4 linked regions of the Saccharomyces cerevisiae S288C genome follow. The gene in region 3 interacts genetically with the main gene of each other region. Each region holds a gene or a part of one and is shown on either strand. Other genes may lie near its edges. The genes, in order: NDE1, AMF1, RHO5 and HER1.

Evidence for each region.
Region 1: mutations in RHO5 (region 3) and NDE1 together harm fitness more than expected from each alone (negative genetic interaction), as found in Saccharomyces cerevisiae (one large-scale study listed by BioGRID).
Region 2: of RHO5 (region 3) and AMF1, a mutation in one rescues a mutant of the other (synthetic rescue), as found in Saccharomyces cerevisiae (one large-scale study listed by BioGRID).
Region 4: of RHO5 (region 3) and HER1, a mutation in one rescues a mutant of the other (synthetic rescue), as found in Saccharomyces cerevisiae (one large-scale study listed by BioGRID).

Annotation. Positions count from the first base shown.
Region 1 is NC_001145.3:554,218-558,263, reverse strand, and holds NDE1 (NADH-ubiquinone reductase (H(+)-translocating) NDE1), read left to right. Parts: upstream 1-1,788; coding exon 1,789-3,471; downstream 3,472-4,046. Other genes in the region: TIF34 (translation initiation factor eIF3 subunit i), read left to right, coding at 1-783; FDO1 (Fdo1p), read right to left, coding at 3,874-4,046.
Region 2 is NC_001147.6:1,047,925-1,051,558, reverse strand, and holds AMF1 (Amf1p), read right to left. Parts: upstream 2,049-3,634; coding exon 501-2,048; downstream 1-500. Other genes in the region: RDR1 (Rdr1p), read right to left, coding at 1-269. UniProt on the Saccharomyces cerevisiae protein: Low affinity ammonium transporter of the plasma membrane. May be involved in drug resistance through pumping them out of the cell.
Region 3 is NC_001146.8:299,120-302,356, forward strand, and holds RHO5 (Rho family GTPase RHO5), read right to left. Parts: upstream 1,531-3,237; coding exon 535-1,530; downstream 1-534. Other genes in the region: PBR1 (putative oxidoreductase), read left to right, coding at 1-439. UniProt on the Saccharomyces cerevisiae protein: Small GTPase that negatively regulates a MAP kinase branch, downstream of SLT2, of the PKC1-mediated signal transduction pathway.
Region 4 is NC_001147.6:761,209-767,151, reverse strand, and holds HER1 (Her1p), read right to left. Parts: upstream 4,328-5,943; coding exon 587-4,327; downstream 1-586. Other genes in the region: MCP1 (Mcp1p), read left to right, coding at 1-283; putative iron-binding protein ISU2, read left to right, coding at 5,068-5,538; DNA-directed RNA polymerase core subunit RPB8, read left to right, coding at 5,887-5,943. UniProt on the Saccharomyces cerevisiae protein: Required for HMG2-induced endoplasmic reticulum-remodeling.

The sequences.
Region 1 (4,046 bases), on a different chromosome or scaffold from region 3:
GCTACATGGAAATCGCCTGTCCCCGTTAAAAGAGTTGAATTTTCCCCATGCGGTAACTACTTTCTAGCTATCTTGGACAACGTCATGAAAAATCCAGGTTCCATTAACATATACGAAATTGAAAGAGATTCCGCCACTCACGAATTAACAAAGGTCTCCGAAGAGCCAATCCATAAAATTATCACTCATGAAGGTTTAGACGCTGCCACCGTGGCTGGATGGTCGACTAAGGGCAAATACATCATTGCAGGCCATAAAGACGGTAAGATCAGCAAATACGATGTGTCCAACAACTACGAATACGTGGATTCCATCGATTTGCACGAAAAGTCCATCAGTGACATGCAATTTTCTCCTGATTTAACATACTTTATTACATCATCCAGAGATACTAACTCGTTCTTGGTCGATGTATCGACTCTACAAGTTCTTAAGAAATACGAAACAGACTGTCCTCTAAACACCGCCGTAATCACCCCATTGAAGGAATTCATTATTCTTGGTGGTGGTCAAGAGGCCAAGGATGTCACCACCACCAGTGCCAACGAAGGTAAGTTTGAAGCTAGGTTCTACCACAAGATCTTCGAAGAAGAAATCGGCAGAGTACAAGGCCATTTTGGTCCCTTGAACACAGTTGCCATTAGCCCACAGGGCACAAGTTATGCCTCCGGTGGTGAAGATGGGTTCATACGTCTACACCATTTCGAAAAATCTTACTTTGATTTCAAATACGACGTGGAGAAGGCCGCCGAAGCTAAAGAGCACATGCAAGAAGCTAATTAATGTTAATTTTGATGCTGATGTTGATGTATAGTAAACATACATATATGCATATACGCACGTATATATATATAAGAATATGAAACCCAAACTGTGGATATTATTTCGTTTATTATGATCTCTCGCATATCTTGATACGAAGTGCAAGTCATTATAATATTTAGACTTTTCATTACGTTAATAGAGAGTCACTTTAACCACGAGGGGAAAAAACACATACCCCTCCCCTTCGAGGTAATCTTCCGGTGAGATCTTCCCTGTATGCAGTTCCCGGGCATAGGCGGGTTTAACATCTTGCTAAAGAACTATCGCACTAACCCTCTGGTACCCAATGCCGAGATTCGGTAATGGGGGCACGGCACTACGGAAAAAAAACTACAATTCTAACTCTACCCCGCCCCTTACGAAAACGCCCTAGCTCAACCATTCCGACCGATAAAAAGTTGCCGCGATCCCGTCGATCGCATTTGGTTTTGAGGTAAAAAAAGAAAGCGACAGGGATCTTCTCCACGATGCTCGAGATGCCCTGGTCCTCGCTATGGCATTACTCTGGCCTCAGCGGTATTTGCATTCACAACCATCACCATCGGGATGGTAATACATGGCTCGGCAATGAGAAGAGTTTTGGCACACATGGGCCACTCCTTATGCTTTCTTTCCGTTGTCTCGAAGCGTGTGGTGTTTCTATTTTCATTCTCCTTCTTGGGTGTATATATAAAAGAGGTTGTGTTATATAAGACAACGCTCATTGGCCTGTTCTTGATTTTGATTTTTTCCGCTTTTGTGCTGTTGGGGCTAGAACTATAAGTGTGTCGATTGTTTTTATCTTCATTATTTCTTTTGCATGTTTAGTATTTAGACTAAATTTATACGCAGCTACTATCTTTTATTATATATTCTGGTAAACCAATTAAAGAGAGAAAAAGGAAAAAAATTTTCACACTAATATTCTTCATATAGCATCATAATATTGACTTATTAGAGCAAATAAAAAATTAACCAATAATAATGATTAGACAATCATTAATGAAAACAGTGTGGGCTAACTCCTCCAGGTTTAGCCTACAGAGCAAGTCGGGGCTTGTGAAATATGCCAAAAATAGATCGTTCCATGCAGCAAGAAATTTGCTAGAGGACAAGAAAGTCATTTTGCAAAAAGTGGCGCCCACTACTGGCGTTGTTGCGAAGCAGTCCTTTTTCAAGAGAACTGGGAAATTTACTTTGAAGGCTTTATTGTATTCTGCCCTCGCGGGTACGGCTTACGTTTCATACTCACTTTACCGAGAAGCTAACCCTTCTACCCAAGTTCCTCAATCGGACACTTTTCCAAACGGTTCAAAGAGGAAGACTTTGGTAATTCTGGGCTCCGGTTGGGGTTCTGTGTCGCTTTTGAAAAATTTGGACACCACGTTGTATAATGTTGTTGTTGTTTCTCCAAGAAATTATTTTCTTTTTACTCCGCTATTGCCATCTACCCCAGTTGGTACCATCGAATTGAAATCTATTGTTGAACCTGTCAGGACTATTGCTAGAAGATCGCACGGTGAAGTCCATTACTATGAAGCTGAAGCGTACGACGTTGATCCTGAAAACAAAACAATTAAGGTCAAATCTTCCGCTAAGAATAACGACTACGACTTGGACTTGAAATACGACTATCTGGTTGTCGGTGTGGGTGCTCAACCAAACACTTTTGGTACTCCGGGAGTTTATGAATATTCTTCTTTCTTGAAGGAAATATCCGACGCTCAAGAGATCAGATTAAAAATTATGTCCAGTATTGAGAAAGCTGCCTCCCTATCTCCAAAAGATCCTGAGAGAGCAAGATTGTTGAGCTTTGTTGTCGTTGGTGGTGGTCCCACCGGTGTCGAATTTGCCGCTGAATTGAGAGATTATGTTGACCAGGACTTGAGAAAATGGATGCCCGAATTGAGTAAAGAAATTAAAGTCACTTTGGTGGAGGCTTTGCCAAACATTTTGAACATGTTTGACAAGTATCTCGTTGACTATGCTCAAGATTTATTCAAAGAGGAAAAAATCGATTTAAGATTGAAAACAATGGTTAAGAAAGTTGACGCTACCACTATAACTGCCAAAACTGGCGATGGTGACATTGAAAATATACCGTATGGTGTATTAGTTTGGGCTACAGGTAATGCGCCAAGAGAAGTGTCTAAGAACCTAATGACTAAATTAGAGGAACAGGACTCAAGACGTGGTTTGTTGATAGATAACAAACTTCAACTTTTGGGTGCTAAGGGATCTATTTTTGCTATCGGCGATTGTACCTTCCACCCTGGCTTGTTCCCTACCGCTCAAGTTGCCCACCAAGAAGGTGAATACTTGGCTCAGTATTTCAAGAAAGCTTATAAAATCGATCAATTGAACTGGAAAATGACCCATGCTAAAGACGATTCAGAAGTCGCTAGATTAAAGAACCAAATAGTCAAAACGCAATCGCAAATTGAAGACTTCAAGTACAACCATAAGGGTGCTCTGGCTTATATTGGTTCAGATAAAGCCATTGCTGATCTTGCCGTTGGTGAAGCCAAATATAGGTTAGCCGGCTCATTCACCTTCCTATTCTGGAAATCTGCTTATTTGGCAATGTGTCTATCCTTTAGAAACAGAGTTCTTGTCGCTATGGATTGGGCTAAAGTTTATTTCTTGGGTAGAGATTCATCTATCTAGTAGAAATAGATACAAGAGAATAACATTTTTAAATGATGATCAGTTTTGTTTTTTATTTTATTTTTTCCAGTTAGTTTGTTTTGTCTTTCATATTATTTCTTTTTTTATCGATATTTTAGCAGAGGCCTTGTCCCTTTTTTATGCTAATAAAATTAAAATTGTTTTATATACATAATCATAATTTATCATTTGTTGCCTCAAACTGATATTCTATCTTAAAAAAAAGGGAAAATGAGTGAGACAATATTTAGATAAACCATCATCAAATATTTAATTTCCAAGAGAAATAAAGTATGTATAATATAATGTTAATGATATCAACTAATGAATCGAAGAGAAAGCGCGGGTGTTGACATTGTGTATTTCTTGCCATCAAGAACAAACATTATCTAGTATCTTTGATCACTTAATATCCTTAATGCTTCCGTCTATGGTACTGAAACTTTTCATTTTGGGCAATTGGAGGGTCCTATTCCCATGTGAATCCTGAATTGACTCATCTTTAGTATTTGGTCGATTGTGTGTAATAGTCCTTCCCATTTCAGGACTGCACGTAATTTCCAACTCCGTAGTGT
Region 2 (3,634 bases), on a different chromosome or scaffold from region 3:
TTTATAGGCTGCGGTTGTTCGTTTCTATGTATACCCGGAAGAACAAAAGGTCTGCTCTCCGTATCAGGAGATGTTTCACCTACTTGTTGCACTTGAGGTGATGCCGAAGGGACACGACCGTCAATATAATGACATACATATCCATAGGCAACGCACATTTCACATGGAGATTTGCCATTACATTTCCTTTTACGTTCCCTACAGGGCACGCAAGCCTTTCGGACTCTTTGTCGCTTGTGTGGTAATGCTGTCGATCCTGGGGATGCCATTTGGTGAGCTTAAAGTAGGAAAGTGTGCGCTAAGTTATCTTACTGAAGTTCTTTCAGGTTTCTACTTGAAAAAATAATGTATCTTTTCACTCGAGAATGGCCTCTTGTAATTTTCATATTTATCGCACGATACGGGATATACTGGCTCCTCTCTATCACTTTGATCGTACTATATTTATTTCTATTAGTTTGGGTTATATACCACGATGAAGTATTTCTCTATATATGAACTTATTCTATAAAATGCTGCTTTTCGGAGATCCTTTTTTTAGACTTCATAAAAGTGCTCCATGCATACGTTGCTGCGACAAAAATGCCAAGTCCGCTCAACCCGATGCCCATGTACCACGAACAACGATATCCTTTCAAAGGCTTGGCACCTCCGTCATTTACTCTAGATTCAATTGTACCTGCAATACCCAAACCTATCGATATCGAATAGTTTACCACCGTATTAACCAAAGAGGCTGCAAGACCTTGATGTTCGTGTGGCATCGAGTCACTAAGCATTATTGTAGCGGCCGGAAAGGACATGTCCATTCCCCAAGGCATAACAATGATTGACACAAACGTTTGAGCCCAATACGTTTGGTGAACGGGGGCCGTAGCAATCAATATAGTTCCGACTGTGAAAGCTGTCATCGCAAAAAGCATAACTGTGCTTGGGGGTGTATGGCTTAGAAGGAAACCTGTCGTCACGGCTGCACAAAATCCACTGATTGCTACAGGTGAAAACTGTGCACTAGAAAGAAGGGGGGTTTGGCCCCTTGAGTCTTCCATGAACTGCCATGTATAGAATATCCAAATACCAAAGCTGGCCCATCCCGCAGCTATGCAGCTAAGTACAAAAGCAGTATCACTAGAAAGAGCAGCAAATGGTAGCAGAGGGAAAGCTGCTCGGGACTCGATATATGCAAAAATAACCAAGAAAAAGGTACCAACTATCAAAAGAGCGTATGTGTATGGAGTTTGCCAACCCACAACGGGGCCTTGGTTCCAAGCGAAATTAAAGAGAATTAATCCAACAACGCCGGTAACTGACCCTGCAAAATCGATTCGTTCCAACAACTTGAAAGATGAGGCATCGCGGCTTGGCATGGGGGTGTGAGGGATTACAAAGTAACCTGCTACAGCTAAAACAAAGCATGCAATACCCATTATCCAGTAAGCCCATGGCCACCACGCCAGTTGACCCAACATGGATGAGAAAACAGCCCCAAGGAAGAAGCCACCAGGTGCTGAAGCACCAAACAGACTAAAGACCATGTTTTTTCTTCTTCCTGGCTTATATGTGCGTCCGAGAATCGCAATGGCATTTGGCAACAAAAAGGCCGGACCCATGCCTTGAAATGCACGACAGCAGTCAAAAAAAATCTGATTAGAGTAGACGCTAAACCCAGCAAGTAAGGACCAAAGTGCGTACCAAAAGAAGCCAAGGACAAAGAATTTCTTGTGTCCGAAGATATCTCCGAGTCTTCCAGCAATTAAAATGAATGTACCAACAGTTAGCGAATATGCGGAAGCAAACCAACTAAGTTGTCCAGCATTCGTTGTTCCAAAACTGTTACCGATGATGTGAAGCGGCGCTAATGATTGTCCAAGTCCTGCCTGAGTCATTAGTTGGGCAGAGCACAGCACTCCGACAAAGGCACTCTCCCATAAAAGGGATTTAGGCCTCTCATCCTGAATATCAAACTCTGATAATACTTTATCCTCCTTTTTCAAGGCTTCCGCGTTTGTATCCAAGTTTTTCTGCGTTACGGAGGAGCTAGTTGACATATTGATTTTATGTTCTTTATGTTCCAGCAATTGATGAATGTACAATATTTGTTTTCTTTTCAGGTAGAGAGTGAGATAGAAGTAAGTTTCCACAAATGAAGTTATTGGAGGCTAGATATACTACTCCCTTGGTATTTAAAACTGCTGCCAAATCTCGTTTATTTTAATCCCTACCGATAGCTCATCATTGAGAGCTTCCGCAATATCCGCACATTTCGTGGAGCGCTTCACGTGAAAAGAGTGGCCCATTGAAAAAAAAGCTGAAACATTCGTAGCGACAACCCTGGCGACAAGCGTGGCGACAACCGCAATAGCCGCCACAGCCGCAATAGCTACACATCACCTTTTTGGGCTTAAAGTGGTAGGTAATTTTGCTTGGCGCGGTTACCTACCACTCTAAGCCGCAACAACAGAACACGTATGGAAAGCTTGCCGCAATTGTCATCGTTCTGGCTAGTTCATTCAACGTTTTAGGTTTCCACCCCGTTACATTTGCACGTTCAGCGTAATGAGCGTGGGTACTCGATGATTGTCGTTTGTTAAGGCTAATCTAGTTGAAAAAGAAACGCGTGAAAAATGTTATTGAAGTTTCTTATCCAATTAAGATTTCAGCTTTTCAGCTTTTTTTCTAGGCGCTCACTTGGTTCCATACCATTCTTTTCAAAAAGTCTGCCATGTAATTATACGAATACTGTGAATCTTTTATGATAGCATGCTCCTATTATAGATGTGATCGATGTCTGTGTGCTTCTGGGCTTACAAACGAGGATATGCACACAAGGTTCCAAATTGCCGAAGCTGCAAAGAAGCAAGCAGGCTCCTGAAGCACCGAATCAAGATCAAATCATTGTAGCGACTTATTTTAGATGAACTTTGGAAAGCGGCGTCTATAAAAGTATAAAAAAATACAGCAAGAAACCTTTTTAAAATCTACTAGCAAAGAGAGAAAGGAAATGACTACATTAGGTGCGATATCAATAATATCGAATTGATGAAATATGAAAATAAAATTTTATGCCTGGGGAAAAGTTCGGTAACATCAAATCAGTGCTTTATTTGAGTATCTTCCGCCTGTAATTCCTCACATAAAAAAAAAAAGCTTTTTACACCTCCTTATGCCCATGCGCCCACGCATTTGTTTGTAGCTTTGCATTGGCCTTGTTGGTCTAGTGGTGTAGGCGCCCTTCAAAAGTTGCGTTTCTTGGGTGGGAGAAGTCCGAAAAATGCGTATCCGAGTGTACAACGGTTTTTTTTCAGGGACAATATGCCAAGGAATACCGTAAGCAACGGCTGCGCTAATACATCCATTAAAAATATCTCTCCTTGCTTAAGGTCTCACACCCAAAATGACAATGAGAGTGCTATTTTAGTTGTTCATCAATTTAGTATATACCAGCTCCCACAGGACGACGATTCTGACCCTTTCTATTTAAATAGCTCCTTACATCGAGAAGATCTCTGCAGCTAATCAAATCAATTAATATTTCAGATTTGTCGCGATTTTGAAATATATACTATAGGTTGTTATCTATCATATGCAATGTTCTGCACGTTATTTACTTCGATCTGATCTTAAATCAACTCTA
Region 3 (3,237 bases):
TGAAAGAACAGGAAAAAATGTTACCATTACTATGGTTCAACCTGGAACTATGAGATCAAATAGCCTACGCCGCGTCATTAGTAATGGTTCGGTGGTATTGTTAATAATACTTTACTGTATTCTGTTGTACCCCATATTGTGGCTGTTTACCAAGAGTGGTCGTCGTGGTGATCAAAGTTTCTTGTACGCTTTAATGACACCGGAATTGGAGGAAGTAAACTTAAAAGACACGAAGGTTAAGTATATCTCAGACTGTTCAATTGTGAAATTTGCTCGTAAAGAATTTGATGACGAGGAATTACAGAAGAAACTATTTGATAATACGGAAAGAGATATTTTACAATTGGAAAAGAAAGTCGCGGCAAAGAGAAATGCCAATAAGACCGGGAATCAAAATTCTAAAAAGAAGAGTCAGAACAAGAGTAGAAAAGATGATTAGAAATGAGAACGTAAATATATGTGTAGATTTCTTTTTTTCTTATTTATGATATCGGTATATGTAATTATTTATTTACTTTTTCTGCCTCCTTGATATTAAAGTATTACACACTTTGACTTCTTTTTCTTCTTGTCGTTTCTCGTCTTTGGTTTAGCTTGCTTGTTGTGATGATTATTTGAGGCAATTTTACTACCTTTGCTTTTTGATTGCTCGTGAATTTTGTCTTTTTGTCCCTTTTTTGTGGGTTTGATATTGAGAGCTTCCTTCTCCTGCTGTAAGCTTCCTTTCGGAAGAGTACTATCTGTACTATTATTATGGTGTGGTTGCTGTTTTTGTTCTCGAATATTTTTATCTCCATTGGTGTTGGTTGTTGCAGTCGTTAATTCATCAGTTAGAGTATGATTTGCTGATTTTTGGTTAGGGGATTCTGGTTCGTAGATAGCGTACCTCACCGCCTGTTCAAAGACTTCCCGGACACCTGCTTGGGTAGCAGCTGAACATTCGGTATAGCCCATAAACCCACATCTTTGTACGAGTTCATCTATTTCCTCTTGAGACACGTAATCGGAGTTTGCTTCCTGCAATTTTTTCTGAGTTGCCGGATCATCTCTTAGGTCACTTTTGGTGCCTACCAATAGAATTGGATACTTCCCTAATTTAGTATAAAGAGAGGTACCTTCAATATTGGAAGTCTGCTTCAGTTCAGGTAGCCATTTTTCTGTGACATTGGCAAAACTAGCATGTTCGCTTACTGAGAAACATATTAAAAAAATATCTGTTTGGGGATAACATAACGGTCTTAAACGATCGTAATCTTCCTGTCCTGCAGTGTCCCATAAATTGATTTTATATAGTTTTCTGTCCGTACTTGGTGAAGAACTGGCAGATGAAAGTGAACCTCTTTTATCATTACCATTGTCAAGCTCTAGGGGGCTACTCGCAGTTCCGTTCGGGATAGCTATCGTAGTAGAATAATTATCAAAAACCGTTGGAACATAGTCTGTTGGGAACGAATTGGTAGTATATGATATTAGAAGTGACGTTTTACCTACTGCACCATCACCAATTATCACACATTTAATAGACCTCATCAGACTTATTAGTATACTATATTGTATTTAATAAATATTTCGGCGTGTGCTTTGTGGGTGCCACCTGTCTTGTATTTCCTATCCAACTGAATATTCTGGATATTGTCTTGTGCAATAGACCGGAAAAAAAAAAGTGAATGTTCCAACGCTTTGGAATACAATGATGGGTCAAGGATCGTGCTTTTGTTCGTTGGTGGATCGGCCGTACGTGTTTAGTGAGGGTACTATTTAAACTTACTTTAAATAGCAAAATAGGAAAAGCTACGAGAAACTGAAAAGTAAAAAAAAAAAAAAAAAATAAAAAAAAAAGAAAAAAAAAGGAGAAACATGATTGCCAGTACTCGCAAGAACTAAGATAGAGAGAAAAAGGACGATATATCAAGAAATAAAAGGGAAGGTAATTCAAGTAAGCACTGCTTAGCTGTCTGCATAGGAGCCTTCTGCAATTACTCATCTCATCGTATTCGTCATAACCCGTTACGTAACTGATTTGACCAAGAAGCGTAATGAAAATTTTGAGCGGACGCCGAAACGTTGTTTTTTTTTTGCTTTAGTCCAGATAATAACCTTTTATAATTTTCTTTTTAGGGAGGAAGACCGGTCTAAGCTCTTAGAGGTTCTCGCATACCCAAGTAAAAGCTAAGACCGAAGCAAACACGCAGGATAATTTTCCGGTTTACTCTCACTGCAGCTTTAGTATAGATGCAGATCTGGTATTGAGAGAGGGGGGCCGGAACGAAAAGATTCAGGGGAGAGAAAGGCCCGGGCGTCGGGGAACAAAACCACTTTTGCACACCTTAATTTTTTAGCTACTCTGTTTCTCCGGGCTTGTATGGCACATAAATAAAATTCTGCTACTTTCCATTATCTGGTCATCACTTACCGATGTGGAGAGCCTTGCCCTTGAAAAATAAGATAAGACCTCCGATTAGGGTATTTGAAATTAACCGCTGTAGAATGAAATAAGGACGCTTGTTTGACATTTTTTAGTTGCTTTCTCTATCTACCACCATTTGCATCTTGATTTATGTCTTGTTTGAGGAGATTTCGGATAAATATTCTTCGAGGGGAAAATGTCGTAAAAATAAAAACAATAAAGAAACAAAACGATTAAAAGAAAAACTCAACCATCCTCAAAAGTCCTCCTCTTTTTTTTCACGTGCTGCGCTGATGTAAGCAGCAGGACATGGCAGGAAGAAAATCGGAGAATTGTGGCCGCGACACCTGACAAACAATCCTCAGGCAAATGTAAAATTGTACATGAAAGGCTGCGTAGTCAATGTCTTAGAAGGCCGGCCCGCATGATCCAGAAGCAGACCATAAAAAAAATAAAAATTCGCGGTCTGGCAGCAGGCATAAGATGCATAGCGTTATCCTAAATGACATCACGATGATAAATCCTCCGCCGCATGATGCTTTTGATTTGCCTAAGGGCCTGCCATCGTGCTGGCTCAAACTATTGAGGGTCAACATACCTTGAAAATCCAAGTAAAAGGATGGATATCGTTATACTAAAAGCAACACAGAAAAGGTCCACGTCAGTTCCACACAATAACATTTACGTAGTGTTCACGCGAAGCAGTTACATCTCAACTAACATAATTGCTGGTGAGCCTACAACACTGCATGCGTAAACGTCAACGGGATTACGTTAGTATTTTTGGCCGCCGGTAAATTCTCTTGTTTTTTTTTCTTGATTTCACTTCT
Region 4 (5,943 bases), on a different chromosome or scaffold from region 3:
ATTACTATCTAGCAAGAACAGGTGGTGGAAATGGCTTGGAGGCCTGGTGCCGTTAGCTATTCTCCTCGAGTCAGGTGTATATCATATAGGTTCGGGGCTCTGCCGTTATTTCGGTGTTAGAAAAATGACTAGCAGGAAAAAATGGTCCACAGCTATCAATCTATTAACACTCGTTGGGTTCGTTTCTCTGATTAGATTGATGAAAGAGGATTCTACGAAACTGGGTCCCAACCAATTCGAAAGCATTTTCAAAAAGATCCGGTTGCTGTTGCACGTGAATTAGGAATCCTTGTGGGAGTAGTGTGAAGCTATTAATTTGCGACAATTCTCGAACAGTTAATTATATTATTCTCAGTATTTATTTTAAATTTCTGTATTTTTATCTGATTAATAACATTAGTGTGCATAATGAAGGCAAAAAATTTCGGCAGAAAGTATATGATTATGAAAAAACGTAAAATACATATACACATAAAACGTACATACATATATAGATTCCTAAGAATACATTATTGATGGGATATTTATACAAAGATGCACCTTCTAATAATCGAAAGAGAAAGGAAAGACAGAAGCATAAAATAATTTAGGTTTTACTGTGACGAACATTAGACAGATCGTTCAATAGTTTGTCATATTTTTTTGTCACTGTTTCATCTTCAACAAGGGGCCTCTGCAAAGGCGCCTTTTGTTGTGATTCTTGTAAACTGTCATTACTCGGGCTTCTAGAGTTCAATTCATCTCCATATAATGATTCCAATCCAACCTTTTCAGAGGTAACATTTTTAATCAGATCATCTACAGAATCAATACCCTTAGCTTTAATAATGGCATCCCTTAATTCGGCACCGGTAGGAATCTTTGGTAAGATTTTTGGCCTTGTACCAGATGTGCGAGAGGATTCCCCTTTCTTTCCTCCGGCGACACTGCTATCTGGTGTTAACGACCCGCTAATTCTCGAAGAATTGGCGGATGAAGGAAGCCCAGAGTTATGTCTTGAGCTTTGGTGCTGTACAAACACACCCCATTTATGTAATTCACCTTCCTCTTCTTCCTGTCTCTTGCCGGCCAGTGAGGTATTAGACGAACTCTTGAAAAGAAGAGCTTTACCAGTGGTCACATCGATGATTCGTCCCGAGTCGGTGGCCATTAAGTGTGGTCTAATTGATGAATCGTTTTCAGGAATTGAAACATCGTTGATTAACCTGTCAGAATCTAAGTGTTTTAGAGATGGACGAATACCATCATTATAGTTTGCGCTAACCGTGCTATCCCCAATATTAGGGAAACTATTATCGGCTTTTGAAAATGGTACGACATCTGCTATATTGGGCATAGAAGCAAAAATATCAAGAATATTTGATAAATTTTTCTCAAGAAGCAATAACCTTAGTAGGTTTTCCTTTTCCTGCAGTGGCAGTTCGCCGGATTTTCTTTTCTCAAACATAGAATCAATTGTATTTTGAACATTATGATGTACCTTTTCCATTTTCTCAAAATATTTCTTTAAAAGATATTTCTTCCCAACATCATTTTGAAGTAAAGATTTGTCATTTAATCTTTTCAAAACTTCTTCTGCTGTCTCAGTTATCAAGGAACCATCAAATATTAAATCATCTTGTACAGTCAATTCATCTAATTTAAAGCTAGAGTCCATAATTCTCTTCATATTATGCATTAAGCATAACGCAATTCTTGATTGAATTTCGTCTGGTACTTGATCATAGTCAACGTCTAAACTAACTAAATTGTGAGAGTCCCTAACAAATGCATACAATGAGGCCCAAAGCGTATTTCTCATAAATACGATTTGTTCTTTCTTTTCATCTTTCGACTTATCGGGTTCATCAGTACTGTCGGATATTTTACTTGCATCGGGCATAGGACTTTGTCCTATCAATGAAACATGAGAGAGGGTTTCACACTTAGCTAATATGCTGACAAGCATGGTTGTTTCTTTTATAGAAAGATCGTCGAAATCAAAATGAATACGTTTCAGTTGTGGAAATTGGGGAAAATACTTATAGCCGGATGTTAAAATCCCCGGGAATAACTGAGGCAAGTTGCTCAAATCTAGAAATTTTATGCTTGGCAAACGTGAAAGATATTTTAGTATGTAGGACATATCATCAACAGAGGTGATATTAGTGCTGTTAAGGGTAAAATATTCCAAATGCTTATAAGGAAGCCTAGCTAGTTTTTTGATCATTCGTTTTGCCAAACTTTCTAAATTATTATAGGCCAAATCCACACCTTGAACGTTATATTCAGACATCCAATTAAAGAGAAAATCAAAACACTCGGTTGAGAATTCTACGTTAGCCATCCCGAGACGAATAGGGTTTTTAGGGTTCATTTGTGCGAAAGTAAGTAGGATATTTTTGAAATGACTGAATGACATTTTGTCAAACCTTAAACCATTCAAAAGCAATTCTTCCAAAGGTCTACCTTCTCTATTTCTAAGAACTTCGCAAAATAGTTCCCAGTCCATTTGGTCTCTGTAGTTAGAATCATTTAAATCTGTCCTTGCTTTAGTCTGAGAAATATCCAGCTTGATCAATGTTTTATTTTGTAATAAAAACTTGCAAAGTAGTTTCCAACTTTGTTCGTTTATCACAACATTTCTTAACCCCAATTTCTCCACTACCGGAGAGGTTACCAAAGAACAAATGACAATCTTGAACATATCATGGGTTAAGGACACATTATCGAAAATGATGTTATGGATCGGAGTTATGGCAATAAAATCACAAAATGATAATATATCCACTAAGGTTGGTTTTGGATTCAAAAATTTCAAAGTCTGCAAAGGTGCGGTTTTACCTTTGACCTGTCTCAAAGTGGACGGTATTGGTAAAATTTCTCTCAAATGACAGCATCTAGTGTAAGCTACGTCCAATGTTTGTTCAAGGTGAGAAGAGTATTTAATGTTATCATCCTGATGTGTTTCGAAAGGATGTGCACCTACATTGATCGGTTTATCGATATGAAGCTTAGAAGCTCTAGCATCTAGAGAGGAGGATTCTTGATCCGTCGCTGAATCTGCTGCTGAATTAGTTGCTCCAGTTAACGGCGATGTCTTCAATTGCCTGGCCTTATAGTTTGCCACTTCTTGAGCCATTCGCTCTGCAACATAATACGCATCCTTTTGATGTTTTTCGGCTTCTTTAGCTGCTTTTTTAAAATTTTCCAAAGCTAATTTATATTCTTTAGAATCTTTTGAATATGAGGGAGAGATATTGGACTGAAAACTGCTTTGATCGCTGCTGTTTGTAATTCCCAGAGAGATTAGTGGGGGGGCACTAATCATATCTTCTGGTATGAGAACATTACCCCTTTTAGGCTTCCTAGAAGGTAGTTGTTGTGGGGGATCTGAGTTAAATTCTTGAACTGCAATAGTAACCCTTTTCAAATTTACCTTTGACACCTTCTGTAATTGTTTTTGCGTAGTTTCTTTTTCTAAAATGGGAGGGAGGTCTGATGATTCAGAATGGGGCGAGTCTTGTTCACGACCACTACTATGATGTGACTGGATATGGTGGTGGGCATTAAAATTCGTAGAAGAGGTTTCCAAGATGTTATGAGGAATACTTAGAAGTTTTGAAGTAAGAGATCCATCAGAATGTCTATTCCCACCAGAACTACTGGGTTTGGAAGATGCAGTGGTAGGAGTACTAGTTGGGGTGGAGATCTTTGACTGTCTGGTATCTATAGGAGGGAGTTCTGTGCTTTTTTTATGGTCATTCTGAGAAGACAACGGTCTTTCAACAACGTGCGAGGGAGTGGTGGAAGGCCTTCTCCCGAACAAAGAACCGAACAGAGATTTCTTAGATCGTTCATTCAAAGAAGTTGATATAGAAGAAGAACGACTTCTCCCCTTCTTTGAAACGATGGGTTCCGCAAGGGTGCTGCTTTTTGTTTCCTTAACAGGTTGATCCTGTGCCGTTCTAATTCGAGATATTTTAGGAGAATCTGTGGTGTCATCGTTATTATTCTTCTTCTGGAGTAGGCCGTACGATACTGAGTGAGAACGAGTCCTCCTAGTGGGCACTTGTCCTTGCTGCGAAACCTTCTCGGCGGATACTGCTGGTTTAGAGTTGGATAATTCGTTATTTACATTCTGGCCGCTCAGGGGCCTTTGAGGAGAAGCTATAGTTTTCGTAGGAACAGCTGCGGTTGATGGCAAAGTAGCAGTTTTCTTTACAGAGGTGGTGGTAGCTTCTGAAGTGCGCGTGGAAGCCGCACTTTTGGTCCTATTCCTTCGTTTCCCCTTATACAACCAGTCCAATGGCACATCTATATCAGTGTACTTCAACTTGGAGCTCATGTCAGACTAGATTCAACCAGATACAAATTAATACATATACAATGGCCAAAGAGAATGAAGAAAAAAGGAAGGGACTCAGTCAAATATTAGACGACAGTATCACTGAAGGAAGGGAACTGGTGCGAGGAGGAAAGGAGAAAATACGTAATGCAAGTGGTAATAAAACGGGAACAGGCTAGTTCTCGAGAAATGTGGCAACTGCAACCAAATGGAAGAGTCAAATGTAAGTTATAGAGGGTTCGCTTTCCACCTTAACCCATCGAACTGTCAATCATGTCGCTTCTTTAACCTGCCCCTTAACGTTACTAAGCAAAAACAAAAGGCAGACAAACTCAAGAAATAATTAAGCATAACCCGGAAAAGGAAACGCCAAACCACTATGGAATTATTCTTATTTCATTACAGGGTCCGCACCTTCCCAGTCTAGAAAGGCATGGTATGGAATTATGACTGCAACTTTATAGTGGTCAGATGTTTATATATGTACACCCATAATACAGATACACAGCATACTGCATATATCCGAGTCACCATGATTCTATTGTTTCAGAGTCCGGTTCAGGCCCAACGTTTTTTGGCGCCCTCGTTTTTTCCCTATGCGGAACCTACTATTAATAAGCACCTGGGGCCGGCCGGTGCAGCAGTATAGCAGTATATAACAACAGCAAAAGAAGCATATGTAGACAACGCTGAGGTTTCATTACAGCTCATACATCACCAACAAACATAGCACAGCATAGATGTTCGCCAGACTCGCTAATCCTGCCCACTTCAAGCCTCTCACGGGCTCCCACATAACAAGAGCTGCCAAAAGACTTTACCATCCTAAGGTAATTGACCACTACACAAACCCAAGAAACGTTGGGTCCATGGATAAGTCCTTAGCTAATGTCGGCACAGGAATCGTGGGCGCCCCTGCGTGTGGTGATGTGATAAAACTACAAATACAGGTGAATGATAAATCGGGTATTATCGAGAACGTTAAGTTCAAGACCTTCGGGTGTGGGTCTGCCATCGCTTCCTCCTCCTACATGACCGAGCTGGTACGCGGTATGTCACTTGATGAGGCCGTTAAAATTAAAAACACGGAAATCGCGAAGGAGCTAAGTCTTCCTCCAGTAAAACTGCATTGTTCCATGCTTGCAGAAGACGCTATCAAGGCGGCAATCAAGGACTACAAAACAAAGAGGAACCCCTCCGTTTTGCATTGAAAGAGAGGCGATACGATAATATGATAAAATACAAGAGGTCCTCTCTTTCCGGTTTTTTTTTTCTGGTTGTTTTATAGAAAGGGTTAAAAGAATAATTAGGTATAATAATAAGTAATTAATATCAGAAACAGTCATAATACTAGTGACATTATGTATCAAATTTTGACTTAGTTTTTTCATGTTCGTCAGACGTGATAGGTTTTCTCCAGGTCTTATTTTCATCTTTCATTTTCACATTTTTTTTTTTCTAAAGCGAAAACTAAGATGAAAAATTTCAGAATATTTAAACTGTGATGGCAGCTATAAAAGCCCAGTTGCCAGCTCATTGCTTCCATAACAACCGCAGCAATGTCTAACACTCTATTTGATGATATATTCCAAGTCTCGGAAGTTGATCCCGGTCGT